Linked DNA regions of Notamacropus eugenii. The protein of the gene in region 1 purifies or fractionates together with the protein of each later gene. This does not show direct contact. Links are inferred from orthologs where the notes say so. Each region holds a gene or a part of one and is shown in the gene's direction. Other genes may lie near its edges.

Region 1 (10,477 bases):
GGAGGTCATCTAGTTCAACTCACTTATTTAAGAAATCTGGAAAGTGAGACCCAAAAGGGGGTAGTGGTTTGCTGAAGACCGTATAGGTAGTGAGTTGTAGGAATGGAACTTTGATTTTCTGATTCCAATTCAGCACTTTCAAGATATCACACTACAACTGCCTCTGGGCTTTCAGAAGCTCATTATATTTTTCCTGGCCCATCTGTTATTTTAAGTAGTATTTAATTGTGTTTTTATACCCTAATCTCTCTTTTCAGAAATCCTATGCTTTTTATATTGTCAGACAATGCATTCTCTACATTTATAGAGACATTTTTGTAAATCTTCATCTCTCCCGGAATGATCTCTTCTAGAAACTCTTTGAAGGTTGGAACTAAAATATACCAGTATTGGTAGCAACTTCCCAATATATACTTATAAATGAGTAACCCTCACTTAACATGGTTTGCTCTTCTCTTTGAGGGCAGGGACTACCTTTGTATTCCCTGCACCTAGCACATTGCCAGGCATCAAGGGACTAATAAATACTTGTTGGTTAGCTGATTGCCTGGGCCACATAGTGATGACATGGCCTTTGTGACCAGCAATGTGCCACTTGTATCAATTGTCACTGCTCACACTGTGGTGCTGCTTCTTCCATACTGAAGGCTGCTGCTTCTACTGCTGCTATACTTAAGGTTGTAGAGAGGAAGGAGGAAGATCCCATTAAGAAACCAAAAGCAATCTGCTGAGTGATACCAGGTTTTGCCATGTTCATCTATCTGATTCATTTTGACAACAGAATCCTTCGATGGAATTGTTGTGGCCCAAAGGACTTTAGTTTAGAATCCTGATATCTTAAAAGGTAACACTCAGGGACTCATTGTGCAAAATCCTCACTCCACAGTTGCTTCTGAAAAACTTTTAAATGCATGAGACTACTTTCAAAATAAAGTTAAAAGAATATTAAGACAAGATGCTCTTCTAGTTCAGAAGAATCAGATAAAGAAATCAGTGTAAGGTCATTGAAAACTTAACTCTACCACACAGATGTGTTTTACTACAATTAATTAAGGATTAATTCAAGTCAACTAAATTTCTAACGTGCCTGCTATGTGCAAAGCCCTGTACTAAGTGCTGATCATATAAAGTTGAGAAACAACAAAGTTTCTGCCCACCAAGAGATACAATCTAACAGGAGATGAAATATAGATACAGATACAGTTGTTACAAGGTAGACTGTAAGATGGTCTCTAGATAAAATGCTCTAAAAATCTGAGAAGGGAGTCTTAAAGGAAAAGAAGTAGTTTAATAGCCAGAGAGGTGGAGGGAATATGTTCCCAGGATGTGGGGTATCCATGAGGATACACAGAGACAGAAGAAGTCAGGATAAAGTTATAGAGAACAGTGAATAGAAGAGTTTGAATGGAATGTAGAGTCCCAGAATGGAAATCCTGTGAAGTTAGGAGGGGAAAGTAGGTCAGAACCATACTGAGAAAGGTCGTAATTGCAAGGCTAAGGAGTTTGTATTTTACAGAGAGCCTGGGAAGTTTCTTCTATACAGGTGACTTGTGCAATGGAAAGGTGATTTTGGTTGCTGTAAGAAGGATAGAGTAGAGATAAGAGAGCCTGGAAGCAGGAGAACCGTTTGAGAAGCTATTGCATTGATCCAGCAATGAGGGACTGGTGTAGGCTGATAGCAATGCAAATAGAGGAGGGTAGATACATGTGAGAGTTACAGACAAAGCAGACTAGATAGGACTTGGAGACTAATTCGATATAGAGGATGAGGAGCAGAGAAGAGTCAAAAATGATTGAGGTTTGAGACTGGGGCACGAGAAACAGTGGTGCCATCAACAGAAATAGGGAAGTTGACATGAGGCTTAGATTTTGGAGTCAAGGTTTTAAAATTCAATTTTAGGTGTGTTGAGTTTGAGTGACTATTCAGGTAGAGCCAGCAGGTAGTTGGTTAGAAATGGGAAATTAGAGCTCAGGGAATAAATGTTTGGATATATGAATTTGGGAAGTAATGATTGGAACCACAAGAGTGGATGAGATTGTTAAGGAAAAGAGTGTAGAGAGAAAAAGAAGTCAAGAACACACCTTTGTGGGAAGCCAGGAAGCCACAAGCAGACAGAAGGAAAATGAATCAAAGAAGATAATGGAAAAAGCAGCTAGATGTTGTGGTAGATAGGGTTCTAGACTTAGAGTCAGAAAAACCTGGGTTCAAATCCTGCCTCAGACATTTATTAGCTATGTCTCCCTGGGCAAGTTACTTAACCTCTTTCAGACTCAGTTTCCTGATCAATAAAATGGAGATAATATTACCTACCTCTCAGGGCTGTTATAAGGATAAAATGAAATAACAAATGTAAAGGGCTTTGCAAACCTGAAAGTAGTTAGACAGCTAGAAAGAATATTAGGAGAGTATAACATCACAGAAGTCAATGTAAGATGACAAGGAATTTGGAGTGGATAAGTCAACATGGTTCTCAGAACCACAGAATCTCAGAGTTGGAAGGGAATTCAAAGAGGGGGAGATCCATCAGCCCACTTCCTTCATTTGGTCCTCATGTAACATTAGCTCACACTCCATCACCTTGGTCATGTTCCTCTGGACACCCTCCAGTTTATCAGTGTCTTCACTCAAATGTGACATCTAGAACTGAACACCATTGTTCAGATCTCATTTGACCAATACAGTATCATTATCACTTCCCTAATCCTGAATACTATGCCTCTCTTAATGGACACTAAGATGGCTTTAGTTTTTTTGGCTGTTACATCACTCTATTAATCATTAATTAATTCATAATGAGCAATTCATATTGTTTCCAACAAACTGCTATCTAGGCATGCCTCCCCCATTTTATATTTCTAAAGTTAATTTTTCAAAACCAAACGTAAATCTTCAATTTACCCTTCACACAGCTGTCAAAGCAATAATACTAACACAAAAATCCAACCATGTCATTATCCTGCACCAAATTGCTCTGGTGGCTATCTGTTGCCTCTGGGATCAAATATAAATTCTGATTTGGTATTTAAAGCATTTAACAATCTGGGTTCAACCTACATTTCTAGACTTATTCTATATTATTCCCTTTGAGCAGTCTATGTTCCAGGTAACCTGACTTACTTACTACTAGTCATTTGCCCAGGCTGTTCCCCATCCCTCCCTCCATGTCTAGAATCCACTTCTTCCACCTTAATGGAATGGAGTTTTGGAGCATGTTCACACCACCTAACATGGTATCACCCTTGTGGAAGGCACTAGGGGACTACTTCTGGGAGAATGGAACACTATAGCAAGACTGGACATTTTGTGTTGAACTACTACACGGCTGGGAGTAGCCTTTTCCCATTGGCATATAACCAGAACAGCCAGTCTTTTAAAAACAGCCTGACACAGTACCTGAAGGGTTTTTGGGGTATTCATGTCTGAGGGTGAAGGATTCTTTCACTCATATCATGTAGTAAGTTGTGAGGAGAAGTGGGGAAGGGATGCTTCCTTCCCCCACTCCCATCCACCCCCACTTTAGGCCATATGGTTACAAGAAATGAGCCTACGTATTTGGCATTTTTGTTCAATCTTTTTCATTCTAGTTTTAAGGAGCAGAATCTCGGATTTGACCCAGAAGCATAAGCCATGGGGATTCAGGAGTTTAAAAGTCCAGGCCAGGTGTTGCAGACAGCCTAGCAGAAGCAAGCCCTGAGGAGTAAGGGTCTAGCGATGCTAGCCAACCCAGCTGGGTTTTGGGCTTGAACATGGTAGTGGGAATAATACTATGTAGGAACTGAGTTAAACTGTGAGCCTAATCTCTCCTTCCACAGAGGCCAAAGCAGTATTGGGGGGCGAGAAGGGGAAGGGAATTATGTACTAAGTGCTGGGGGGAAATGCTCTAACTTTGAAGTAAACCCCTTTGTAAAAGCTAACCTGATGTTAAGATAGTTAAGTAGAACTGGGGGTGCTAGCCATTGTATCCCTAAAATGGGAGGAACAAAGCTGGTGAGGGCTTGAGCCAATAGCTGAGACTCCCCACTCTCCCTTGGGGTACTGGAGAACCCTGTGGTGGGAACAATGTAACAGGTCAACTGGTCCCGAGAGAGGGTGGACCCAGTCATAGATGTTGCATTAGAATTAAATCATTATTGTTGTTGAGGCTTTTCAGTTCTGTCCAACTTTTTGTGACCCAATTTGAGGTTTTCTTGTCAGAGATAGTGGAATACTTCGCCATTTCCTTCTCTAGTTCATTTTACAGATGAGTAAACTGAGGCAAAGAGGGTTAAGTGCCTTGTCCAGGGTCACATAGCTAGTAGGAGTCTAAGGCCAGATTTGAACGAAGGTTTTCCTGACTCCAGGCCTGGTGCTCTATCCACTTCACCAACCTAGTTACCCTCAGAATTCTTAGTTTCCTTCCAAACTCCCCAAAGTCCATCTAGGTCTTTTCTAATCTCAATGACTTTGTACAGTATTAAATTTGTATATTTTGCAATTATTTGCTGTTTGTCTTGTTCCCGCTTCACTTCCCCACATACAAATTACTTGAAGACAAGGACTATTTTCTTTGCTGTCTGCCTGCCACATAGTAGGTAATTAACAAATACTGGTTAATTAAGTTGCCCTTAGAGCTAATTTTTTGAGCCTTGGTCAATCCATGCTTAGCACTTGGGAGAAGTAGAGAAGGAAATGCAATGAGGTGACCTAGGACTGGTGATTAGCAGGGTGGGAACAGCAAAAAAAACAAAGAGCAGAAGGATTCTAAAGGCAAAGTTTGGGAAGTTTGATCTGGGTGATCAAAATAGATGAACAGAAAGGATGAAAGCAGGAAGGTCTCCAGTATTTTGGGTGGACACTCTGTGGCTAACTTTTGGGAGGACACAGAGAAGGGTCACCCAGTATCTGCAGGTATGGATGGGATGCCATCTGCCTCATTGGTGGGAATTCTGAAATAGATAGGATCATAAATATGTCTGAATATTTGAGAGTAAGTATACAAAGAGAAACAAAGTAGAAATTTAGCAAAGGGTTGGACTGGACATCTTAAAAATATCACCCAACTCTAAATTCTTTGGGGTTTTTTTCTTTTTAAAGAACAGTTATAGATTTTTTTGGATTTAATTATTTTGTTTTTCCTCAATTACTTGTAAAGAAAAATTTTTAACATTTTTTTCTTTGACATAGGAGCAGCTCTCTGATGTACTTCAATTCTCATTTTTAGACTTACAGGAAATTGCTGCTGGACACATCTACTACTAGCACTATTACTGCAAATAATTAGTATTATTTTTTTTAATTAATGTTTTTTTTTCATTTAACAGGCATTAGTTTTCTCTTCCTCCCACCTCAGCCCACCCAACAGGAAAAAAAAGGGAAAGTAAGAAAGGAAAAAAAGAAAAGAATGAAAGAAGAAAGAAGAAAAACAAGCCCTTGTTACAAATATACAAAGTCAAGCAAGTCCAATTCCTGTACTGACTGACCATGTCCAACAATACAGGTAGCATCACCTCCCCCTCTGTCAGGAGGTGGGTAGCGTGTTTGATCATTGGCCCCCTGGAATCGTGGTTTGGTTTGTCCAGACACTGATCAGAGCTCTCGCATCTTTCGAGGAGTGGCTTTTCTTTATCAAGCTGCTGTTACACACTAACTGTTCTCCTGGCCCTGCTTGGTCAGCTGAGACAGGTCTGCTCGGTTTTCTCGGACCCTGCCTCTGTCACTTCTGATGACATCCCCAGGCCATCATCTTCCTGCTACTCCTTACCTGACCTACATGCCCTATTTTGCCGCTCGCAGTAAATATCTTAGTGCACACGAGCACCTTTTCTCTGACCTCTTTGGGGTCTCTAGCTTGGGGAGGTGGGGGTGCGGTGTGCACAGGTCGGTGACTCGGGAGCATTGTTCCAAACTGCTCTCCGGCACCACTGACCAACTGTGCACTGGGCAGTGGCTGGCTTTTCTCTAGGGTTTTAAAGTTTCAAAGTACTTTACAGAGTGGCATTTGTGACTCACAGGCCGGCTGGGTGAGGAAGCAGCCTGTGCAGTGAAGAAGGTCAGCACTAATTAGGCGCCCACTGTATGTGGGGGGGGGGGGGGAGGAGCTGGAAATAGCCGGGGATGGGAAGGGCAGAGCGCGAGCGCCAGACGGGGCTGGGGCGGTGGAAAGGGAGGCGACCTGCCCCCCTACTCCCCCCGCCGGTTTCAAGGCGGGGGGGGGGAGCGCGGTGAGGGGCGGCGTCAGGGGCTCGTTCCGTGGGGGCCTGACGGGCCCGGGCTGCAAGCTCCGCCTCGTGGGGGGGCATGCCACGGACGTGCGGGGCCTGGCGGCTCGGGGAGCTCTCCTCCTCCCCCGCTGGGCCGCCCTCTCGGACGCGGCAGCCGGGGCTCGGAGGGAGGCTCCTGGGCTGACTCAGCCGGGCGAACGCGGTCCGGACTGACAGCCCCGCTCGGACGCGGGGCCCCGGCCTTCCCTGTCCCGGGGGGACCCGGCAGGCGCCTCGGACCCGGCTCACCGGGGGCGGGGCCGCCGGGGGTAAGTGCGAGCGGCTGCAGGGGGCGCCGAGGAGAGAGAGGGTCCGCCGGAACACAAGCGCGCGGGGACGCGAAGCGGGGCTGGGGACGGTGGAGAGGTCACGGAGCGGGGCGGGGAGAGGAGAGGGGCCGATGTGGCAGGGCGTGCACAGGGCAGGACTGGGACGGCCCGGGCTGGGGGGGGTGGGGGGGAGACGGGCGCGCGCGCGGCGGCGGGGGCCGCAGGGAGCGCGCGGGGCGTCAGACCGAGCGGGGAGGGGGAGCGCGCGGGGCGTCGGAGGGGGAGGGGAGCGGCGCGCGCTCGCGGGGTCCCGGGGCGGAGGGGCCGCGGAGGGGGCGGAAGGCCGGGCGGGAGGAGGGCCGGATTGACTCACTGCCGGCGCTGTTTCCGAGGGGCCGGAGTCGGCCGGGTCACGGCGGAGCGCAGGTCAGGGGCCGGGGCCGGGGCCGGGACCGGGGGCGGGGCCGCGCCCTGGGAATGAATTCCGCCGCTGGGTGGACGAGGAGGAGGGGGTGGGGCCGGCTGGGAGGATGTCTCGGAAAAAGCGGGCTGCCCTCGGAGGACCCGCGTGGACCCGCAGCCCTTGGCCCCTGCCCCTCCCACGCCTCGGGGCCCCCCCCGCGAGTCATTACGTAGCCATAATAGAGTAACCGACCTTCCTGGGGCGCCCCGCCGGGTTCATCTGAACCAACGACCCTGCGAAGTAGGCACCCTGAGGCACTGTGATCCCCATTTACAGATGAGGAAACTGAGGCCGAGAGAGGGTGAGTGTCTCGCCGTGCCCCGCCCCCGCCGGGCGATTCTCCCAGTTTCTTTAGAAGAAGCTGGAGGGGAAGGGCATGGGGGAGGGCCCCCTCGAACTTGGGGAGAGGTGGGGGATGAATGATGGAGGAAACAGGCTGGAGCCGCGGCCGATGGACGCTTCTGAGAGTGGCCACAGGCTCCGCTGCCCACGAGGCATCCACGGAGCCCCGAGAATTCACTGGAAGGGAAGTTTGGAGATGAAACACGCCGTTTGTTTTGGTAGGGGAGCCAGAGAAGAGAAGGGAGGCAGCGCGATCACTGACACCCTAGGAACCCGTTCTGATCTTTAGGAACTTTATATAGATATATACATATATATGTATATATGTATATGTATGTATATATATAATACACACATATGTTCCCGTTTTCCACCGGAGAAACTGAAGCTTGGAGAAAAGGAACGTCGTCCAAGACAATCGAAGTCAGAGACAGAGGCTGCCAAGGATAGAAACCAGGGTGACTGAGTCCAAAGCCAGGGCAGTGTCTGCCAGACCCGATCACTTGAATTTCCAAGGACAGTCTGTTTAATGGTGCTCTACATTACAGTGTCATTCATAGTTAACCCTGATTTTCATTAGCAAAAACAGTCTTAAGGGGAAGGAACTCTTTCTTTAAAGTGTACACTTTATAATATTGATCCCATTATATGCCATTCAAATTCTGGCTGAAAAATAGCTCCCTTAATAGAGCTGAGTAGTCACTTTAGATGTGAGTGGGTCATGAGGTAAAAATCACCTACCTTGTAAAAAAAAACCAGTTTTCTTCCTCTCCTACTTGTACATTACATCCTGTTTCCTGTATGTACCAGTAAAAAAAAAACCATGTTATTTTATACTTAGATATTATTTTACACTATAAAATCAGCATCCTGTATTTATGGTCAATTTTATTCATTAAAACAATTTGAACTCTAGTATTTCTTTTTAAGGGCTGAACTAAAATGATTCCAAGAATAGGAATACATTGGTAAAAATTGGTGATTACTTTGGGATTGTAATGTCTGCATTTGGAATTTAGGAGTTCTCTAATTTGCTCTCTGTATAGCTGAATTATAGAGGATGTTAATGAGGAGATTTGGCTGTATTCATGATATTATTTTACCTATAGAATGATGAGAAGAAGGGAATATAGATGTCATCTAGTCCAACCTCCTCATTTTATAGTTAAGAAAACAGGCCTGGAAAAGTCATAGTGTCTTCTGAGGCTAATGTGCGTAACCACATAGGAACCTTGTAAGATTTTTCCTAGTTAATTTAAGAAAATTTTTTCATAATGACCTGAACCAAGGAAGTAGGCAAATCATATCACCTCTCTGACCGTCACTCAGTTTCCCTATCTCTGAATTAAACTAAAGTATTTTAAGTCCCTTGCTGTTGTGATTACAAAAATATAATTGAACTTTTTACTACAACAGAGTAGATATGAAAATGCTTTGTTTTGCTTTGTGTATGATATATAAGTGTGGTGTCAAACTCATGTAGAAACAAATTGTGCATAAGGATCCTTGCAGCAGCATATTGATCTAGAAAAGTACATATTAACATCAAGGTTCTATTGTATTTTTATTCATTTTGTTAAATGTTTCCCATTTACATTTTAATCTGGTTGGGTCTCAGCAAGCAGTATTTGACAACTCTGATATACATAATAGTGTCTGACTGGAATGATATACAGTGTACTGCAACAAAAGATGTCTTCTATGATGTACTTGAAGAACTTTGACTCAGAGAAGTAATCAGACTGTCTAAAGAGCATTCGTTAATTTTTTGTAGTAGATGCAGATCTATTTGCTATATATAGTCTTGTAAACTCCATTATCCACTTGCCATATGTGTACCTGTTCTCATTTTCATTTCTTCTTTTTATAGAAGCAAAACCACAATCCAACTCTCACTCAGAGGAAACAGAACGACAGTTCCCTCATTTGCTTTCATATATCTCAAGCTTGAGGAGCAAGGTGTTGTCTCTAACCCTTGTAGGTGACTCAAGTGCTCTGCTATGTATGTTTTCTGTCATATTTCCTATCAGATCCAACTCTTGCCTTGATTTGGAAAGTTTTTGCAAGGAAATGATGAAGTTTCTGCTTCGATCTAGTAGACCCCACCCTTATCGTTAAGAATACAAAGAATTAGACTCCTTCCATCTTTAGTATCTGTACAATTCCACAGTAACAAATAGTTCTTTCATTTAGCAAATATTTATTAGGAGCCTAATGCAATATGGAAGACACTGTGGGAGACAGAAAGTTGAACAATAGAGAATTCCTGCCTTCAAGGAATTTACACACAAAGTAGATAAAAATATTTGTGCTAATATCTTACTGTAGTCTTTAAAATATATCACAAAGGCAGCACCATTAGTGTCCTCCAGAGATTTGGCATTATCTCACTGGTTCTGAAATTACTACTTTGATATTTCATTGATCTATGATTTCCTTCTCACTATAGATCACATCTCCAGCGTTTATTAAATTGCTTCATTAGTTGCTTTGAGGGAGAACATCATCTGGTAGCCAGCCTTCTGGTGATGAGCCTATCCAAATTTAGCTCTTTATGTCCAGACTAGCAATGATGTGAAACCAGGTCAGGCTAGGAGGGGGAATAAGAGGTGGGGATGACCAACCTGGTAACACCATAAAAGGAGGGTATCTCAGATGGAGACTACATGAGACAGTTGTCATTCCCTGATGCTCTGTGCTCAATCATTCATCAAGCATTTAAACACCTACTACATGCTTAATGTTTGAGGCCCCGGGGATATAAGTTAAAGAAGACATCTGGTCCCTGCTCTCTAGGAGTTCTAGCAGGCCCAGGTGAGGAAGTAGAGAGCATTTCAGGTATAGGGAAGGCCTTTTGTCCGGGGAGCAGTAGGCAGGCAGTAGGCCTCTTGGGCTGCAGCGTGGAATGTATGAAGGGGACTAGTGATGGGATCATCCTGGAGAGATAGGCTCGAGCCAGGTTGTAGAGGGTTTTCAGTGCCAAACAGAAGTTTGTATTGCTTCCAAAGTAGCATTTTCCTGATTTCTTCCATTCTGATCTCTTACAAGCTTTGGAACATTGTTCTGGCCTTCGTTTCACAATCCCTGACTAGTGTTTGGGATTAGATACCCAGGTGAACTGTTTGACTTGACCTAGGCACAGCATTCTTTTTATCCTTTTAAA
Region 2 (10,376 bases), on another chromosome or scaffold:
GGGAAGCATGAGCTCTTCACTTACCTTCAAGGCACTTGCCCCGCAAAACTGGGTCCAGGCCCCCCTGGATGATGGCAAATAAGTTTTGTTGGTCGGGTCGCCGATTGGCCGAGATGCACCGGTCTAGCCAGCGGATGGACCTGCAATGGTCCCTCTGATTACAGCCTCTCCTTTGGCCTTCAGGGGCACGGGACAGAGGACCAGAACCCTCCACAGGTGTGGGGACACCAGTAATGTCTCTGCTGCTAGTCAGTCAACAAATACTCGATGAAATCAATCAACAAGTATTTATTAAGTGCCTACTAGGTACCATGCTAAGTTCTGAGGCCACAAAGACAAATGCAAAAAGTGCTGGCCCTCCAAGGGCTTATGTTCTAATAGGGTAGACAGTACATATAGAAGCAAATATATACAGGAAACATACGAAAAGAATACAAAGTAACAAATGAGGGGACCAGGTAAAGGCTTCATGGAGAAAGATTCGCTTGAGTTGAGTCCTGAAAGAAACCAGGGAGCGAGAGGGAGGAAGGAAACCATTCCAGGCATGGGGGACGACCAGACCAAAAGCATCAGTCTGGGAAGAGGGAGCATCTCAGGTGAGCAAAAGCAAGGAAACAAGTGGAAGAATAAGAAAGGAAAGTAGAGACCAGCTCATGAAGACCTTTAAATGCCAGAAAGAGGAGTTTACAGAGTTAAGAGAGAGAGAGAGGAGGGTCAGAACTACCCTTTGGGAAACTGCCTCGGAAAACGTAGAGAGCATGGAACCGCAGAAGGGGAAAACCTGAGGCAGGAAGACCAGCTAGATGAGGTCTGAACAAGGGGGGCATCTCTCCAATTCCCTCAGCTGGCAAGCTCGGTGCCTTCCTTTATTCTCCCTCACCCCACCCATCCAATCTGTTGCTAAATCTTCTTTCAATTCTCACATAATATGTCCCCTTCTGTCATCTCAGATGCCACCTTGGTAAATGGTAACTGAGAAGGAGCAGTTAGTGGGGGAGAGGAGAATCAGGAGAGAACAGGGTCAGGAAAATCCTGAGAGAAGAGGGTGGTCTGTGGGATCAAAGGCTGTGATGAGGTCAAGGAGCTAGAAGGAGGAGGGGGGAGAGAGAGAACCACAGCTTAGATGATGAGAATTCACATTTCTATAGTCCATGAAGATTTGCAAACCGCTGACCTGTGCATGGCTTCCTCCACTCGAGAACCCGTCAGAGTGCTGCTGACCACATCATCCAGCTGCATCATAATATCTGAGCCTGGAAAGAAGGGGAAGGGAGAGGGAAAGTCAGAGAATCTCTACTGTTGGGAGGATGGTTGGGGATGGATGCAATCAGGACAACCCTCTTCTTAAAACACGGTAAGATCTAGAAAAAAAACAACCCAGAAATCAGCCAGAAAGGAGGAAAACAAATAAGCCAGCTTTCTGATGCCTTCTCAAGTCTCTGCTCTTCCCTGAAAGTGATTTTATCCTTCTCAACTTCTCATATACTGTGTCAATATTTTCCCACCCTACCTTATATCATATGTATCTACATATCATACCTCTCAGTAAGCTCCTGGAAGGCAGAAATTGTACTCTTTTTTTTTTTTTGACCTTATGTGCCTAGAGTTTAGCCCTGTGATTAATAAAAATTTTTGAGTGTCTTACAAATAAATACATTTACATGGGCAGGGGTGGAATAAGATTTGATACAGCTCCACTATGTGCCAGGCACATATCATCCCATCTGTTCCTCATAACAACCCTTCAAGGTAGGTGCTATTATATTACCTCCATTATACAACTGAGGCAAACCGAGGGTAAGTGACTTACCCAGGGTCACACAGCTAGTGTCTGAGCTGGGATTTGTACTCAATTCTTGCTGATTCCAGGCCCAGTACTCTATACACTGCCACCTAGCTTGAAGACTTACAAAGCTCTTCACTTTGGAAGGGCCCATTAAGTAAATAATGAAAGAACTGTATTCTCCACTTTACAGATCAGCTAACCAGAGAGGAGAAATGACAACCACAGTCACAGTCAGAGCTGAGATTTGAACTAGGGTATCTACTTTCAAATTCTTCCCCCTACAAACTACCTTCTGCTCCCCAGTCCCCCTACTCCCATCCCAAGTCAGCTTCCTGGGAAGAAAGGCCAGAAGCTCTAGTCTCTAGCTCCTCTTCACCATCCAGGGCTCACCCAGTGCATTCTGAATCTCCACAGACTTCTCTGGGCTCAGCAGGATCTCGGCTCCATCATATGGGGAACGGAATCGCACTCCTTCCTCGGTCACCTCAGACAGGGCCAGCAGGGACACCATTTGGAAGCCACCACTGTCCTGTGGATGACATTCCCTATTGACCTCAGGTCCTCAATAAGGATCTGCCACTGTCCCATTGAGAAAATAAGTTGACAGATCTAGAAACTGGGAGATGATCAAAGCCAAACCCCTCATTTTACTGGTTGGGGGGTGAAGGGACACAGGACACTGAGCAACAGAAAGTGTGTGCCCTGTTGAAGGCCATCTAATCCTCAATCCAGGGGTTCTTTCCACCTCACTGTTCTCAGCCCCTGGAACAATGACAGCAATTCCTATTTCTAGAGCGCTTTAAAGTTTACAAAATGCTTCTCCAAGACAACCCAGGGAAGCAGATAATTCAAAGATAATTTTTTCCTGTTTTTATATTATAAAGTGAAACTTTAAGAGGCTCAAACAGGGAGTCAGGAGCCCATTCAGGCTTCCTCTCTAAGTTTGGGGCCCTTTCCATTAAAACACACTGCTTTTCCCAGTGTCCCACCTCCCTACCACCAAGGGTTCCAGACCCACCGTGAGCAGGTTTTGGTTCCAGTTCATAAAGCCATGCAGCCCACCGGCCTTCTGTATGAGCTCTGGACCCTGGGAGAGAAGATTCAGTCACTACAAGTGAGAGACCAGGACAGAGGTTCCTATACTGTTACAGAAAAAGCACGGGAGTGGGGAATCTGCAACCTTGAGGCCATGTGTGGCCTTCTAGGTCCTTGGGTGTGGCCTTTGGACTGAGTCCAAGATTTATAGAACAAATGCTTTTATTAAGGGGATTTGTTCTGTGAGGTTTGGATTCAGTCAAAGGGCCTACAGGGGCACATGTGGCCTTGCAACTGAAGGTTCCCCACCCCTGGGTGAGCCTGATCTGGAGGTTGCCCACCTCAGCCATTCCCATCTTTGGGTCCAAAAGTAGGGAGCCCTTGATCCCTCACAGGCCTTAGAGATGAGAGGATTTAAAAGGAAGATTTAAAATTAGAGATTAAGACAATTTAAAAATAATACAGTCTAACCCCCATGTTTAACCACCAGGGAAACTAAGGCTCAATGCAGGGAAAGGTACCAAAGGCTTCAGATTAAAACCCAGGTGCCCTGACTTTTTTGACTCCACTAATAAGAATTTGTTGTTGTTCAGTGGTATCTGTCTCTTTCCAATACTATTTGGAGCTTTCATGGCAGAGATACTGGAGTGGTTTGCCATTTCCTTTTCTAACTCATTTTACAGATGAGGAAACTGAGACAAAAAGGGCTAAATGATCCTTCAGGGTTACACAGCTAGTAAGTGTCTGAGGCTGGATTTAAACTTATTTCTTTCTGACTCCAGGCCAGATACTATCCACTGCCCCACACAGCTACTGCCTAGTATTCAGCTGGGGGTTAAGTAGAAAGAATGCCTGCCCCGGAATCAAGGAAACTCGTCTTCTTGAGTTCAAATTCTGCTTCTGACACTAGCTGCGTGACCCTGGGCAAGTCACTTAACCATGTTTGCCTCAGTTTCCTCATCTGTAAAAGGAACTAGAGAAAAAAACAGCAAACTATTGCAGCATCTCTGCCAAGAAGATCCCAGAGGAGGTGGGGAAGAGTCGACACGACTGAACATTGCTAAAACATTCATTACATAGCGCCTTAAGATCTGCAAAGTGCTTCCCCATGATACTGTCATCCACATTTTACCCTTCGGTAAAGAGGAACCCGTGGCATGCAAAAGTGAGGGGACTTGCCCACATCTGCACCCGATCTTGAATGCGGGCCTTCCCCACTCGAGGGCCAGCGGTCAGCATCTCCCCCAGCTCGCTGCCGCCTCCGGGGGGGTCCCGGCGCAGCGGCCCAGCGCCCTTCCCCACTGCGGGCCAGAGGTCAGCGCCTCCACCAGCAGCGCACTCACCGGCCTCATGCCCAGGTGGTACGTGTTGCCCAGACAGATGCGGCAGCCCAGGCTATCCAGCTGCGCTGCAGTGACTCCCTTCATGGTCCCTTGCGTCCCCACCGGCATAAAGACCGGGGTGGCCACGGTGCCGTGCGGCAGGTGCAGCTCGCACGCCCGCGCCTTGCTGCGGCCGCACGCGGCCACCACCCGCAGGGCCAGGGCTGCCGGGGCCCGGGTCCCTGGGCCCGCAGCAGAAGCAGCTACTGCGGCAGTCGATTCTGGACACCTCGTGGACGGAGGCTCCCCGGAAGCCGCCATATTACTACCTGGTCACGTGGCAAGCGGAGCAGGCGGAAGGCGTCTCGGAGCCATGGCAACGGGCTTCCCGGCGGTCAGAGAAGGGCCCGCTTTTTTTTTTTTTTTTTGAGGCACCAGAACTGGAGTCGGCAAATTAATACACTTAAAATGCCTGGAACATCGTTGTCTGAATTCTGAAAATGACGTGGCCCTGATTTATTCTCCGACTCCGCCCTTCCTGAGAATCCCATCCTGGGTCAAATGGGGAAGTCGGCTAGGACAGCCTGTTTTACATAGCTCGGTGACGTCACGGAGGCGCGCTGTGCTGGGAGTTGTAGTTTTCCGCAGTGACAAGCTGCCTGCCGCCTTAGAAAAGGAGGCTGGAACGTGAGGAACATGGTCGTTAGAAGCCATAAATCCGGAGATTCTTAGGTAAAAGGCATCCATAGATAGGATTCTAGAATGTAGCATTAAGCACGCACAGCCTGATTGTCCTGGGAATCGATGGGTTCCTTTTCACTGCTGCTGTTAGCCAAAGACTGGATAGCCATTCAGTTGATAAATATTACATATGCAGGCAAACCGCAGGGGATACAATTACGAAAAAGACCTGCCCTCAAGGAGCTTATAATCTAAGGGAGGGTGGACAATGAAAAGGGGAGGAGTTGTGAAGAAATCCAAAAGACAGCTGCTTGGTTGGAAATTAAGAGATATCTGGCCTGGGAACCCTCTATGGAGGTTTTGGGAGGAGCTCTCCACCCACCTTCCATTCAGAGGGGTCCCAGAGGCAGAGGGGTGAGGACCAACGCTTAACTGATCTTGCAAGACGATAAGGTTGCTGGGGCCACGACGTCCAAAGCAGTGCAGCAGGGTGAAAAATGACCACCTCCCAAAAACCAGGGATCCTTGGGGTATGGAGTTGAACCGTATAGCTTTATCTTCATCCGTTCTAATCGGAAGATTTCTTTTGTCATAATTACTAATTAAGCAGCATTGGGAGGAAATCTTGATTCCCTCCAGCAGGGGACGCTGATTTTCTCAGAGAGCTCTTCTAAATCTAGAAGTGATCGTTGTTTCGAGGAGTCTGAGCGTTAACAAATAAGAGCTAACGCTAAATTGATCGACAGATGCATTTCTCAATCACAGACAAAATTTAGCCAGAAAGCACCGCCCCGTTTCTTGCTCTAGTTAACAGATAGTATGACAGCTTTTCTGGCCAATGGAATAACTGAAGGAATCGGGCTACTGTGACGTATTACCCAATCACATTTGATTTGGTGGGTGGAGTCCGCTAACATCACTGGTTTGCTAATCCGACAGACAGGTAGTCTCACCAATGAGAATGCGAAGATGTCTTAAAATAGGCGGGACTAGCATGCAATTTCCGGAAACGCCGCCCCCGGCGTTGACAACCAGGTTCCACGGCCTATTGGGTCTCGGGAAGAGTGACAGTTCCTTTATCCAATGAATTCTCGAGAAAGGAAAAGGGGCTTAGGACATTTTCGTCCATAACCATCATCCGTAAGCCCGTACCTCTATTCCATTGGCTTTTGATCGAGAGTGACAGGAGTCGGGGCCAGTAGGCAGTGGTTTGAAGGGTTTGGGGCGAAGCCTCGGCTGGGAGGGCCAGCCCCGGTTGCGTAAGGGGCGGGAGGTCGCTTGGGTCGGGTGTCGCCTGAGAACCGGATGAGGCGGCGACTGTGAGTCGAAGTTTGGAGTCGGGAGTTGGGCTGAGTCCCGGGGGAGCAACCGCCGGCGCGCGGGGCAGGGTCGTTGGGAGGCTGGGGAGGTCTCGCGGGCCGCGAGGGGGGAGTCGCCGCCGCCGCCACCATGGGGAACCGGGGGATGGAGGAGCTGATCCCGCTGGTCAACAAGCTGCAGGACGCGTTCAGCTCCATCGGGCAGAGCTGCCACCTGGACCTGCCGCAGATCGCCGTGGTGGGCGGCCAGAGCGCCGGCAAGAGCTCGGTGCTCGAGAACTTCGTCGGCCGGTGAGTCTTGGGCAGGCTGCGCCGGCGGCGGAAGATGGGCGCTCCCCCTCCCCGCGGGCCCTGCTCGCTCCGCCCGGGCGCAAGCGGCTTGAGGAATGGGCCCTGGACGCGCCTGGCTGCGCCGCTTGCGTAAGCCTCGGGCAGAGCCGCGGGTGGAGGAGCGCCGCTGGCGGGTGCGCGTGGACGGCGTAGAGGGGGTCCGGGGATGGGCCCCGGCCTAGGCCCCCTCCCCCGGGGGGGTCATCCGGGGGTCACTCGGACCTCACGCGGTCTCCGACCTCTGACCCGGGGGGAGATCCACAGCGGCGAGCGTCGCCCTTCTCCCCCTGGGGAGGACTCCGTGTGCCCGCCCGGCAGGTGCCCGGCGGACGTCTGACAGCCCTCCTGGCCCCGAGCCGTTTAATGCCGGTCTGGAGCGGGGAAGGAGCGGGTCTCCGTAGTCGTACAGCTGGAGGACCTCTAGGTCATCAATCCTTTCATTTTACAGAGGAGGAAACCGAGGCCCAGGGCGGTGACGTGACGTGCCAAGGTCACTGTTGGCTTCCCTGGCATTATCAGGGTGTGTTTGTGCTGGGAGGGGGGTCTCCCAACCAATTGAAGTGCCTGGCGGGGAGGGGCGGGGGAACACCAGCCTGGTGCCTTTGTTGCCATTATCGCGTTAGGTTTGGCCGATGCTCTAGGGTTTATTATTCTTTGCAGACTGCCAGGCTTGATTAGAGTTAACTGCAGCCCCGGTTATCTCGGCTCTGGGCATTTGAGCTGTCGAGGGAAGGACAGCGCTGGGAGACTGGATCCAGGGATTCATAAGGGGACGTTGTGCCTTGTAGACCTGACAACTCCAGGTTCAGAACCATCTCAACCCCCTTTATCCATCAGAGATGACTGGTTGGTTCTCCCCTACTTTGCAGGATAGCTTTAGGAGATGATAAGCTTAGTGGGTCGAGACCAAGTTTCAAAGTGGACTTTCAATGTAGTTCAGTGGTAGCTAGTGGAGCAGCTACTCCCCTCCCCCCCCAATCCTTCCTTTCGCTTGTCAAAGAGAAGTTCGAAGTAAAGTGTCTTCTTTACTTCGAAAAGGGCTCTTGAGTCATGTTTAACTTCCTTATTCTGGGAGGGCAACCTGACTGTGGTCATGTGTGTCCTCTCCTTCATCCCTATTTAGCGGCATAGGCTCTTAGTGTGGCCAACACCTTCCTGGAGACCCACTCTTTGCATGTCTAGGTTTACAGAGAAACGTGTGCCAGCAGTCTAGAAACCCAAGTTAGATAGTTGATATTGTACCTTTAGATCTTTGCAGAACACTTTCAAACAGTCCCTGCTGAAAGTAACTAATTTACTCAAAGTGTTAGGGTTTTCTGTTTGTTTTTGTGATTATAAGCCTTTTCTGGCCTACAGTTTGACATTTGGTAAAATTTTGGGAGTCCTTTGTATTAGTAATAACAGTAGTTGCTTTATCTGTCATTTCATTTGATCCTCAAAGCAGCCTGTGGGATATGTACTGTTGTTCAGTAGTGTCCCACTTTTGGTGACCATATCACACCAGTGCTGTCCATGGAGTTTTCTTGGCAAAGATGCTGGAATGGTTTGTCATTTCCTTCTCCAGTGGTTTGAGGCAGAGGTTACAGTAATTTGCCCAGGGTCACACAAGACTGGATTTGAGCTCTGGTCTTTCTGCCTTCAGGCCCAGAACTTTATCCACCGAACTACCTAGCTGCCTTTGAAGTATATACTACAAACACTATATTAATTTATTTTAAAGAAGAGGAAATAGGCCCAAAAGTGGCTAGGCCATAAACAAAGTAGGATCTGAACCCAACTATCTCCAGTCTCAAATCCTGGAAACTTTTCATTATATTGTGCTGTTCCTTGACCATTAAAAGCATTCATGTAGCTGTCCTGCCTTTCTTCCCTGGAAAGCTCAACAATAAAACTGACTCAGGTTTGAAAACAGTTGAAATTTTAAAAATTCACAAGTACCCTACACTGCAGACAAATAATATTGAGAACTTTTAAAGAATTAACCAAGCCCTTCCGTCTTAGAAAAAAAACTGTACAGTCAAGCACAGTTGCAGGCAGGTGGTAGTTTTTCTTCCAGAATTTGTTTTAGTCCTGCCATAGTGACATTGTCACATTTAACTGGTGGTGTGTTTTTGAGGCGGTGACTGGAGGGTGACTGTGAATGGACTGACTTGGGTGATTTTCAAATTCCTTCACTAGATGGGAGGGGCAGGGCAGTATGTAGTTCTGATAAAAGAGGTTCTTTTCCTCTCCTTCCCAACCCAGTCTCTGTTAACTTCCTATCACTCAGTCCCATCTCCCTTGAGGGCTCCTTGCCTTAGTTGGGGTGAATGCATTAATTACACCAGGGTTCTCACTTTATTTCTTTATTATTAAAATAAAATGGCTAAGCTCTCAGGTTTGGTCATCTTCATATCCCCAGTCCTTTAAACACTACCTCATCAGTATCATTTATTTCCAAAGTCATCACCCAGATACAAGCTTTCATTCAGTTGTTGTTCTGTCTGGTCTGACTCTTGTTGACCCCATTTGGGGTTTTCTTGGCAAATGTGCTGAAGCGCTTTGCCATTTCCTTCCCCACTTTATTTTAGATGAGGAAACTGAGGCAAACAGGATTAAGTGACTTGCCCAGAGTTGTCTTCAAGATGAGTCTTCCTGACTTCAGGCCCAACACTTTATATCTGCTGTGTCACCTAACTACTCATATTTCTTCCAATACTACCTGCCTAGTTCTGACTTTTATTATAGCCTCCAATAGGTCTTCACCGCTATCCAGTCTTTGTTTTCCAATCAATTATTTACATGCTATGTCAAACTTCTCTTCATTATACATATGTCATAACCTCTGCCCAATAACCTCCATTGGTCTACTGGGCGGGGTTCACATTCCTTAGTGAGACATTCAAGGTCTTCAGTATATTTTGTTGATCTTTTCAACTTTAACCCTAAGTACTACTTACTCTCCTTGTCATCTATCATAGGAGCTAACTGGAAGGAACCTTGGAGATCATCTAGTCTAGTTCCCATGTATAGATCAGGAGACTGAAGCTCCTGAATGCCAAATCAAGGTCAGGGATTGGGAGATTTAAAGTCAGGTCCCCAGATGCCAGTGCCCTTTCCCCAGTACAGCCAAACCAGACTCAGTCTTATCCAACTCATATGCCTTTCCCTACATGCAGAATTCCCTTCCTGCCTTCCCCCACTTGGAATTCTCACCCATCCAGGTCAGATGTCATTCCAGGAATCCTTTCCTGATGCCCCCCACACCTCTTGAGTCTCAGTAATGATTTTGTTTGTACCTTTCTAATGCACTCAGCATGTATTATTTGTTTATCCCCAGATTGGGATGAAAGCTTATCTGTTCAAATCCTTGTGTTTTGTCTGTGAGACACTGAATATGGAGGCCTAGGTTTCCTCTTAACTCTGCTACTAAAGAGCTAGGTTACTTTAAGTAATTCACTAAACTTGTCGGTTCTCTCGTTGCAGTATCTGACATCTTCTCTAGATCTAACACAGCTCTCTGTATGTGTCAGTTCCCTCACATACACATACACACCCTACTTGAAGGCAAAGGCCAGTTCTCAAAATCAGTAACCAGCACAGTACAGGGATACTAACCATTTGATCAATTGAAATTGAATTGATTTTGCGACCATAAACTCTACCAAGCACAATTATTTTTTATTATAATTATTATTAAATAAAGTAATTTTTCTTTTAATGAAAAGCTTCTGCTCAATTGACCTCTTCCAGACTGACCACTCCTCACTTCTTTCTTCCTAGTTATTTGTGTATGTGTGGGGGCTGGGGTTCCACATAATCTTGCAGAATGGCAACTTATCAAGCATTTAGTAAGCACCTACTTCTTGGTAGGCCCTGTAGATTCAAAGAAACAAAATACAACCCCTGGACTGATAGCTACAG
Region 3 (10,832 bases), about 400 Mb from region 1:
TTGAATTTGGTCCCTGAGGGGGTAGCTTCTCTTATGTTTTCACATTTCCAAAGATTCATACCAAAGGTCTTAGGGAGCAGCTTCTCCCATTGGTTATCAGGGTTCCTTCACTTCTGACTATCTGAGTTCTAAGACATCCACTGGAATTATAAGGAAGAGCTGTTAGAAAGTATTGTCAAGGATGGGTGGAGGGGGCAGGGGAGCAGTTAGTGATCTTGTGACAAACACAAAGTCACTGTTACACATCCATCTGCTGTTTTTTGTGACTAAGAAAACCTCAGTTAATCAGTAAAAATTAAGCACCTACTATGTGCTAGGCACTATGTTAACGTCAGGCCTCTCAATGAACAGCCTAGCACAGAAAACATAGTTCAAGGGAACATAAAGACAAGGAAGGAAAGCCACAAAGGAACCACAGAGTCCCATCCCTGCTGAGCCTTGAAGAGGCAGGTTGGCTGATGCTAGCTTTCAATCTCTTTCTTCCCCAAGAATAATTAGTTATATAGCCACATTATGGTGAGCTAACCTGGAACAAATATCAGCCCCAAGATTCTGAGTAGCCCTGTTTTCTTACCTACTGCTGGCTGCCAACTTTGGAATGAGAAGAGAGATTGGTATCGTTATTGGGTCTACTGGTAACAGATGTTGCCCCCCAATCCAATGCTCTGGCTCCCTGATTGTAATTACATTGGCCCCTCCCTCCAACTTTCCCCTAACCCTGAAGACATCAACCAACTTCTTTTGTGCTCCTCCTATTACCCCAAGGTCCTACAGGATATGTTTTTAGGGGGACTCCTAGGACAACTACCACATGACCCAGATTTTCTGTGACAATCTCTACTTCAAAAAAGATGCTACCTTGGTTTTTGGTTGTTGTTGTGGTGGGGACTGGTATTTATGCTATTTTGAATGAGGCTTTGATTGTGAAGCAGTGTTGTATAGTGAGAAAATCTCCAGATGTATAATCAGAGGAACTATGTAATACTGGGCAAATCTTTGGGTCTCAGTTTCCTCATCTGTAAAATGAGGAATTTTCTTCAACGTACTTTCTAGCCCTAAACCTATGACAATCTGACATTATGACTAGATGATTTCTAGGGTCTCTTGCAAGCAATGGATTTTATACTGATTGTACATGAGAAAAATAAAGAAAATCTGCAGGTGTGGTAAAATGGGAGAAATTGATCTAGAACATCATGGCTACTAAATAAAAGCAGTAAACAAACAAACAAGAATGCTATGGGTACCAAATAGCTGGGCAATGTCTGGGGTGGTAGATAGTAATAGCTTAGATGGTCCAAAAGACCTGAGGTGCCTTTCCCTGAGTAACATTTTTCCAGCACATTTTTCCTCCCTCACTAAGGTATAGCCAGAGGATCTCTCTGTGTGACACAGTTCCAGATTACATGTGGTTTTTTGTGATGACCCTTCCCTTTTTTTCTCTTTCACAGATGCTAGGATTTTACTTCATTGAACTCATGAAAGACAGAAGTACACAAGAACATGATTGATTGATGACTGGATTCACCTCAAGATGGTCCTGTCAAACACAGTTCCCATCAGTCTGATGCCCAGGAATGGAATCAGACAGATACTCCCCAGACTATTCTGAACAGTGTCCCTTTCCCTACCTGGTCTAAACCCCCAAGGAAGCTTTCACCATAGATAACAATACATCTTGTACTTGTACCTAAGCACCATCTCTTGCTTTGGGGATTCATGAATGGAGGGATCTTTCCAAGGTAGAAAATAAAAGATGATGCAGCCCAGGGAAACTGAAGGCAAAGATCAGACTCTAATCATATCTACATCCCCCTGGTGCTGAGCATGATGTTTTATCCATCCTCAAGGGGGTTCTAGCCTCAACTCTAGCACAAACTCATTGTGTGACTCTGGGTCTGTCCCCCTCTGCCTGGGCCCCATTTTCTTCATCTGTTAAATGGAGATGTATTTGTACTACTTATTTTACTAGGTTATTGCAAGGATCATTTGTTATATGACAGAGTTGGATTTTCTGCCAGTTCTGTATATCATGAAGATATCAGATAAGTCCAGATGTGTAAACTTTCATAACTCTGAATTGTCATGTAAATGTGACCTGTTATTATAATAATGGCAGGTACAAGTTTATATAGGTATAATCAACAAATAAAGTTCATCCCTTCTTGCCCTTGCCAAGGTACACCCAATGGAGCTGACCCTTCCAACAAATATAGGATACTGCTGGGTAATAGCAGTAACCACTGGTTACCGTTGAAGTCATAGCAATCAGCTAGCTGTCTGTGTGTAGTAAGACCATCTACTCAAGTCAGAACAAAGGTCATGCTGACTCCATCAAGTTTCCTCATGAGATCCAAAATTATACAAAAGAGATTAAATCCATATAGGAAAAACTAAATGGATGAAAAAATGCCAATTGCATTAGACTATGGCATGTATTAGGATGAACAGTCTATTGAATTAGCACCTACATCTGGGACAAGTGCTAAAAATGGACAATGAGTTGGACCCCTGGTGGAATGGGGGAAGAGAGCAGGCTGGAATAAGCTTGGGAAACTGGGTAATACTTTCAATGACATCAAGCAGATCCCCTGCACATCTTGTTAACATAAATATCATCTCAATTATGTTTTTAGTTTTGAATCTTGGAAAACCACAATCTTCACAAAATCTAAGGTACAGGTGTCCCATAGAACATAGGAAAGATGTATGGAGGTAACAAGCAGCTTTCAAAGTATTTTCTAAGGATGGTCTATGGGCAAGTAATAGTAACATACATATATAATATAAATTTAGTACACACACATATAGGAAATATGTGGTCAGAAGAGGAGGTGGGCCAATCATGTAATAAGATGGAAATATCAAAGAACAGGTACTTATTAGGGTCCTGCTATATACCTAGCCTTTTGCTAGGGACACAAGTACAAAGAATGAAACAATCCCTACCTTCAAGGGGCTTGCATTCCAAAGGACGAAGCAAGTATTTTAACTCTCTCTCTCTCTCTCCCCCATATATGTATACACAGATATACACACACATATGTATATATAGTTAAATATACTTGCTATATATAGTATATAGCATGAATATAAATACAAAAATGTGTATTTTTGTACACAAAAGTTAAAACACAAGATCATTTGGAAGACATTAGCAGATGGAGGCTCAGTAAGGTTTCATGCAGGAAGGGGTGCCTAAGCTTCATCTTAGAGAAAGAGCAGGTCTTTATGATGCTGAGGCAATGCATTCCAGGTCTGAGGAAAGACCAGTGCAAAGGTAGGGAGTCAGAAATGTAGAGAAACAGGGAGAAGACCTCTTTGGTTGGATCAAAGAGCTGGAAGGAAAGGGGGCAAACTGATGTCCAATGATGCTAGAAAGATGGGATGGGGGTCAGGTTGTGCAGGGCTTTAAAAGCTAAACAGAGGAATTTATGTTCATCCTAAAGATAGTACGAAGCCAGTAGAGTAGATTGAGTAGGAGAGTCACATGGCCAGATCTGTGCTTAAGGAAAATTACTTTGGCAGCTGTGTGTAGGAAGCCCTGAAGTGATGAGAGTCTTGAGGCAAGGAGACCAATTAGGAGGCTATTGCAATGACCTAGACAAGAGGTGATGAGGGGCTCAACCAAAGTAGTAGTTGTATGAGTGAAGAGAAGGGGTCAGATGCAAGCCATGCCTTGGAAGTAGAAATAAAAAGATTTGGCAAATAACTGGATAGGTGGAGTGAGGAAGAGATGGCATTCTCCAAACTCTTGCTGAGCTGTCCCACACCGATGAAATGCACTCCTTCCTCACCCCTGCCTCTGAAAATCTATGCCATCCTTGGAGGCTCCACTCTCCCTAACCTTTAGTGTCTCCCCATCAGTTCCTTCCCACCTGCTTCCAAACATCTTTGCAATATCCAAACCTTCTTAAAGCCTTAAAATATCTCTCCTCCCTTTCAGAGACAAACTCCTAGGAAAAGCTATGTACACTCATTGCATCTGCTTCTTCAGCCTCTCACACCTGGCTTCTAAGTTCACCCCTCAGCTGAAACTGTTCTCTTCAGAGTTATCAGTGTTCCCTTAATTGCTGACTGTGGGAATATCTTCTTAATCCTTATCCTTCTTGACTTCCCTACAGCATTCAACACTTCCGACCAACCTTTCCTCCTGGATACTCTCTCCTTTTTTGGGTTTTTGTGACCCTGCTTTCTCTTGGTTCTTCTACCTGCCTGGTTACTCCTTTCCAGTCTCTTTTGCTGAGTCAGGCTTCTCTTCTCCATCTACATTTTCTCTCTTGGTGACTTAACTTTCATTGATTCAATTATCATCTCTATGCAGTTGGTTCTCAGATCTAGGTATCTTGCTCTGGCCCCTCTTCTTGCACTCCAGTTCTGAATCCCCTGCCTATGAGAAATTTCCCACAGATGTCCCATAGGTATCTCAAATTATCCAAAACAGAACTATATTTTCCCCAAGACCCATCCTTTTCCCAAACATCTCTATTTCTATAAAAGGTGCCTCCATCTTTCTAGGCACCCAGGTTCCTTATCTGAATCATTCCTGGCTCCTCACTCTCACTAACCACACGTCCATTGAGTTGTTAAATCTTGCTACCTCCATAAACATCTCTGAAATTTGGCCCCCCTAATAAATAATATTTATTTATTGCTAAGTTCTTTACAATTATTATATCATTTGGTCCTCACAGCAACCCTGGGAGGCAATAACTATTAGTAGTATTACTACTATTATCATTTATACAGCACTTCATATGTGCCATGCATTGTAAAGTAAATAACTTTATATTATTATTTCACTTGATACAACCACCACAAGAGGTGAGTGCTATTATCACCCCCATTTTACAGATGAAGAAACTGAGGTACACAGCTGCTAAGTGACTTGCCCAGGGTCACAAGTGTCCGAGGCTGTATTTGAACTCCCTCTTCCAACTCTATGCCCACCTCCCATCACCCTATTTCAACCTCCTGGCTGTTGCTCACATGTAACATTCCATTCCCGCTCAGGCACAGGCTCTTCTGCATGCCTGGAATGCTCTCCCTCCTCATCCCCTCGTCTTAAAACCCTTTGGTTGTCACAAAGTACAGCTCCTATGCTACCTCCCACAAAAGGCCTTTCCTGCTCCTCCCAGCTGTCATGCACCCCGTAATTTACTTTGTGGATATTTTCCGTAGACTTATATGACTACAGGTTTCCCCTGATAGAACAGAAGCTCCTTGAGTCAGGGCTACATCACGTTTGTCTCTTTCTCCCCAGTACACTGCTTGGCACACAGTGGGCTCTCCTAAGTTCTTGTTGGTGGATTGGACTGAAGTACCATTTCCTGCAGGAGACCTCGTCATCCACCTGAAAGCGCTGTCTTCAAAGTTACCAGCGATCCCCTCGTGGCAAAACGAGCGCTCAGGCTTTCGGGTTCTGCGCAGCGCTTGAGGCTCAGCCCGATCTCCTTCCCCACCGCCCGCCCACCCGCGGGGCACCAGGGCTCTCCCGCCCCAGATCCAGGGATACTTTGTTTCTATTCGTCTATTTCCTTCTCTGCGTCCTCCAGGCCCCCGCCAGGGGGTGCAAGCTTTTTCAGACAGGGGCTATTTCCTGTACGTGTTTTCAGTGCCTGGGACTGAGCAAGCATTTAATAAGTGTTTACTGGATGCATAAACAGAGCCACGGAGCAGGGCAGAATTGGGTGTAATCCACCGCTTTCTGGCTCCAACTTCTGCAACAACCTAACACTCTCCCAGCCCTCCGAGTCCCCGCTCTCAAGGGCACCCCACTGGACTTCAGCAGTGAACCACGTGGAAAGTGACCCCTGAACCCCGGCGTGAAGGACGGGACGGCAATAATCGGGACTAGTTTTACCTAAAGCTCTGTCAAAGCGCTTTACACGTGGTACGTCACCGATCCTCACCAAGACCTCGTGAAGTAGGAGCTACATTAATCTTCATTTTACAGATGAGGGGTCTAGTGACTTGTCCAAGGTCACGCAGCTACGCAGAATTTGAACTTTAGGTCTTCCTGACCCTAGGTCCAGCCTGCGACCACTCGCTGTCCTCCCCGCTTCTCCAACTCAGGCTCATTCTCAGCCTCCGAAGCCAGGGCTGCCTTTCCTCTTCCTCCTCCCCCTTCTCTTTTATGCACCGCACACAGCAGGCGCTCAATAAATGCGTGTTGTGCTTTACTGCACTGTCGTATTCATTTCTGCAGCTGGAGGAAATTGAGGCAAGGAAGAGGTGTGAGCACCCAGGACCGGCACAGCCGGGAGTCTGCACTAGGACAGGGAGGGTTCGCGGAGCGAGGTAGTCCGCAGATTCCGCCGCGAAAGGGTTACTAGGTAACCACTCTAGGCTCCACCCCTTACGTGTCCAGGTACTGACCCCTCCCCCTCACCGCGCCGCGCGCACCGCCTCTCTTCCGGGAGTGTCTCATTCGTCACTTCCTGGAGACGGCCTGAATCCGGAAGTGGCCGTGGTCAAGCGGGCTGAGGCCTGGGCCGGGGCCGCAACGCGGGGCTCGGACACCGGAGCCGTCGCCATGAGCTGGTGAGTGAAACCCGGCGGATCCTGCCCTGGGGTTCCTTAGGCTCCCTCTCGTGCCGCACGCCGGACTCCGCCTCTGAGCCCCCGAGACCCCCTCACCCCCTTAATTCCCCGCCCCGCTTTCCAGGGTGCCCCTCTGAGCTTGTCCTGCCCGCCAGCCGCGGGTGGGCTGAGCCTGTCCCGGAGCAAGGCCTTCGGCGCTTCTGCCAACTTTCCACGAGAAGTGCCGGGAACGGATCTGATTCCCGGAACCGCCCCGGCCCCGGGGGCTGGATGGCCACGAGCCACGGACCTTGGAGAGGGATAAGATGACCTCGGAAGGCCCTTCCCATGCCGTCCTTCTGGGACACTTGAAGGGAGCCCTGGGGGGCGGGGCCGACCTGGATCTAGTCTCCTCTCGGGCCCCAAGTCCGTCATGAGGTCATCGCTCTAGAGCCAGGAGGGACCTCGAAGCCACCCAAGCTAACCCTGTCATTTTACGGAGGAAGCTGAGGCCAAGGGAGATGAAGTGACTTGTCCCGAGGTCACCCGAGTATTTATTAGTTACTTAGGCAGAGCCAGTGCCCTCTCCCTTGCACCACCCTGCCTGCTGTACGGAGACAGGCCGGGGAGGTGCACTGGTCCGTGCTGATATCCCCATTTTTCAAATGAGGAAACTGAGGCCCCAGGGAAGTAACCTGTCCAAAGACACACTGCCGGTAAGCGTCAGGACTGAGGACGTTATTTCTTGACTCCAGGTCCTAGTCTCTTTTTCACGTAACCATGCCTCCAAAATTCACCCTTCCTAAACAGACTAATCATTTAGGAAAGGGCTTTAAAGAAAACCTCACATCCCTAGAGCTCGACAGCAGTGATCTTAAATTTATAGCACTCTTATGCTAGTGGTATCTAAATCTTCATCTCAAAGACATGGTAGCATACAGATATATGTATGTATACACACGCATAAGTGTCAGAGGTCTGAATAATAACCGTCAAGGTTCCTATTATGCAGTATCTCTAACCCTTATTTGCTGCTTCACTTGATAATCTTTTATACGTAGTACACACTTATTAAATGTTTGATGATTGATGGACTTTTGGACTCCATTTGGGCAAAGCAGGTTGTTCTTTGTATACCGGACTAATTTTTGTTCTTGGAAGAGAAAACACTTTACTCCTCCTTACCCTCTTATATTTTATTGAGACTTTCAGGAACTTCCCTGTCTAGTTGTGAGCTTTGCCGAACCTTGCCTTTTGTACCTACAGTATAAGACTGGGAGAATTGTCCGTAAAGCTTTTTAGATAGGTCCATTAGCCATAGAGAGCTTTGAATGGACATTCTTTTAAGGGCTATTTGTAGCTTATTTCTCTACCTAGGCATTTGTGACTGAACTCTGCCTAGAAGCAGCTGATATGCCAGTAAACATCAGGAACAGATGTGTAGTATGAAATCCAAACCCCTTCTGATTCCCTTTCTCCTTGCTGTGTTAAGATTTATGTGCAAATATTGAACTGACAGTTCCTGGCAGATTAGGTAGAGCCCCAAGCAATAACCTAATAAGCCCCTCCAGGAATTCTCCTTTTTCTAATGTCCTTTCCTGCTGGAGGCCAATTGTAGGCCTTTACCTAGAAAAGTTAATGTTCCAGTCCTATTAGAACCAAATCACAGAGTCTCTTCTGCCTGCCAGTCAGAGAGGAGATATTCTTCCTCAGGGGAATCAGTTTCTTAAGCGTGTAGCCTGGTCCTCTCCCTCCTATGACTAAATTCGTCCCTGCTTAGCACATCATGAATTTCCTGATTTCTCAAGGTTAAAACCAGAAAGGGCGGTTGCCTTTTAGTGCTCAGAGTATAATTTACAAATCAAACAGAACTCATCTTCTCAACCTGGGAGATGATTAGTGAGGGAGAGGTTCTCTGGGGAAGTACTCTAGGAAGTTGTTTTTATCTTTCTTACTGAGAATATTCTGTAATAGTGAGGCTGTAGCCCCAGGTTTCTGAGGTCTTTTAGGAGAAGAGGATAGTCCATGAGTAAGTGCTACCGTAGGAACTGAAAAGAATGCTGTCATAGGCCTGTACTGCCATATTTTCCAGCCACCTCTTGTACTTTGCCTTATAAGAGTGATAAAGAGAGCAGCTTTGTCTCCTGAAGCTGAGATTTGTCTCTTTTCCTTTTAGACTTAGCCCACGTCATCTCTTGCGTGGACCTTGACCCTCTCCCCTTGAAAGGGGAAAAGCTCTAGTGACCAGGCATACAATCACATTCAGTTCCTGGCTCAATAGCTGGCACAGGGAGCCAGGGTTTGGTCTATCTGATTCATGCATGGAACTGTTTTCCTGCTCCTGGAATCAATCTCTTCATTCACCAAAGTCTGGAATTCCAGGGGTGGGAAAAATGGGCAGAGTGACGTACAGCCACCATGGGAGGCATTAGCCCAGGGTCAAGTTCACCAAGCTCAGGGGATGTGCCAACTATTGGTGAGTGAGACATAGGGCATTCTGATCGTGGCTCCCTGAGGGAAGCCATTGTTCTGGGCCAGGCTGTGCTTTCAAAATGTCATGGTGAAAAATGTCTAACATTAGTGCCCTTTGCACACTGGGTTTTGCATGAAGATCTAATAGCCTTTGTTCCCAACTTCCTCTGAGCAGGCGGCCTGCCTGCCCCCCTGTTTGTTTAGTTGGTGTGTGCCCCCCTTCAAAGACCATCCATTTCTAATCAGGATGACCTAGGAATCTGAGCATCTGGCTAAGAAGAAGATACTAGGAACTCATCTCCACTACCTTATTTACTATGTGGCCCCAAATCAGATTCTCCACCTCTCTACTTTCTTGTCTCTGGAGCAGAGTAAATACCCTCTTCCCTAAGGAGTGAGTTAAAATTGAGTAGAATTAAGTTTTTTTATTGTGTTTACCATTACACCCTTCTCTGAAACCTTAAAGATCACAGATAAGATTGGGAGAAAGAAACCTTGGAGGAGAAGCTGTCAGATTTTGTCCTGTACAAAGGTTTATGTATGCCCTGGAAAGTTAACTCAAAAGAAAGTATTAGTGTAGTGTGAGTGAAGAACTACCCAGGGAAATAGGAAGCATGAACTCAAGCCCTCCTTTAGTTGCTAATTGTGGATCCTTGGCCAAGTCATCCTGACTTCACTCTCAGCTTCTTAAGAGCAGAGACAGTTTTTTGCTTTTCTGCCAGCATTTACCACAGTACCTGGCACATAGTAAGCACTTAATAAATATTTAATGATTGATTGACTCTGCCACATATGCAGTTTGTGAGAATAAACAAGACTATATCTGCATCCTTTTAGTATCTTAGACGAATATAATTTGATTAAATTAATCCTAATACTAGTAATCGCTAGTGGCTTTTTCACATCCATCTCTTTAAAATGACAGATTGATTCAAAAAAAGGGAGAAATCTAAATACCAAACATTCATGCCTAAGAGTCACCAAGGCCCAGTCACCTTAGGCAACTAGTTAGCACAATGGATGGAGTGCTGGCCTCGAAATTTTGAAGACCTTAGTTCAAATCCTGATTCGGATAATTAGCTGGGTGACCCTGAGCAAGGCACTTAACCTCTCAGCCTCAGTCTTCTCATCTGTAAAATGGAAATAATAATAGAACCTTTCTCACTGGGTTGTTGTGAAGATCAAACAAAATAGTATATGTAATACACTTAGCAAACATTAGTGCTGTGTAATCGCTAGCTATTTTTAGCTCTTTCAATATGGCGCCATAGGATTGGGAAAAGTTCAAAGTATAGGCAATGAACCCCTTGCCCCCCAGCTTGAATTCAAAAGGAAGAGGCTGTACAGATGCCATTGTGAGATCTAACACCCTGCATTTACCACATGGAACTACTTGTTCCCTCATCTTGTGATAAAGATTCAAATGGTACCTATATCATGAAGCTTTTCCTTTATTCTCCCCTCCCTAAATGTGATCTCACCCTTCTCTGAATTCCTTCTATGGCATTTTGCCCATCTCTTGTGGTAGTTGTCACATTCTGCCTTTTCCTATAGTGATCTGAATCAGACCAACTGTACTTCCTTTTGACAAAGCTGCTAGACAGGTAGATGAATAGAATACTGTAGATATAAATATACCTGGATTTTCAGCAAGACATTTGGCAGTTCCCCCTATAAGTTATTCTTATAGACCAGATGGAAAGCTGTGGACTGGGTGATAGTTATGGTTAGGTGGATACAGACCTGAGTGAGCTACTTGACCCAAAGAATAGTAATTATTAATGTCAGCCTGGAGGGAGGGCTCTAGGAGGGTGACTCAGAGCTCTGGGATTGACCTT

Evidence for each region.
Region 2: the proteins of DNMBP (region 1) and DNM2 purify together in Homo sapiens (co-immunoprecipitation; 3 studies listed by BioGRID and IntAct, with this or other methods). This does not show direct contact. The link is inferred for Notamacropus eugenii from reciprocal best matches to the Homo sapiens genes DNMBP and DNM2.
Region 3: the proteins of DNMBP (region 1) and BIN3 purify together in Homo sapiens (co-immunoprecipitation; 5 studies listed by BioGRID and IntAct, counting the BioPlex papers as one, with this or other methods). This does not show direct contact. The link is inferred for Notamacropus eugenii from reciprocal best matches to the Homo sapiens genes DNMBP and BIN3.

Annotation. Positions count from the first base shown.
Region 1 is NC_092872.1:216,899,357-216,909,833, reverse strand, and holds the start of DNMBP (dynamin-binding protein), read left to right. Parts: upstream 1-6,394; 5' UTR 6,395-6,509; intron 6,510-6,873; exon of another isoform or gene 6,874-6,935; intron 6,936-6,990; exon of another isoform or gene 6,991-7,273; intron 7,274-9,299; exon of another isoform or gene 9,300-10,477. UniProt on the Homo sapiens protein: Plays a critical role as a guanine nucleotide exchange factor (GEF) for CDC42 in several intracellular processes associated with the actin and microtubule cytoskeleton.
Region 2 is NC_092875.1:79,229,248-79,239,623, reverse strand, and holds the start of DNM2 (dynamin-2), read left to right. Parts: upstream 1-6,113; 5' UTR 6,114-6,273; coding exon 6,274-6,434; intron 6,435-6,716; exon of another isoform or gene 6,717-6,963; intron 6,964-10,376. Other genes in the region: QTRT1 (queuine tRNA-ribosyltransferase catalytic subunit 1), read right to left, coding at 25-140, 1,175-1,253, 2,177-2,315, 2,805-2,873, 4,165-4,464. UniProt on the Homo sapiens protein: Catalyzes the hydrolysis of GTP and utilizes this energy to mediate vesicle scission at plasma membrane during endocytosis and filament remodeling at many actin structures during organization of the actin cytoskeleton.
Region 3 is NC_092872.1:611,922,653-611,933,484, forward strand, and holds the start of BIN3 (bridging integrator 3), read left to right. Parts: upstream 1-6,343; 5' UTR 6,344-6,535; coding exon 6,536-6,543; exon of another isoform or gene 6,544-7,238; intron 7,239-10,832. UniProt on the Homo sapiens protein: Involved in cytokinesis and septation where it has a role in the localization of F-actin.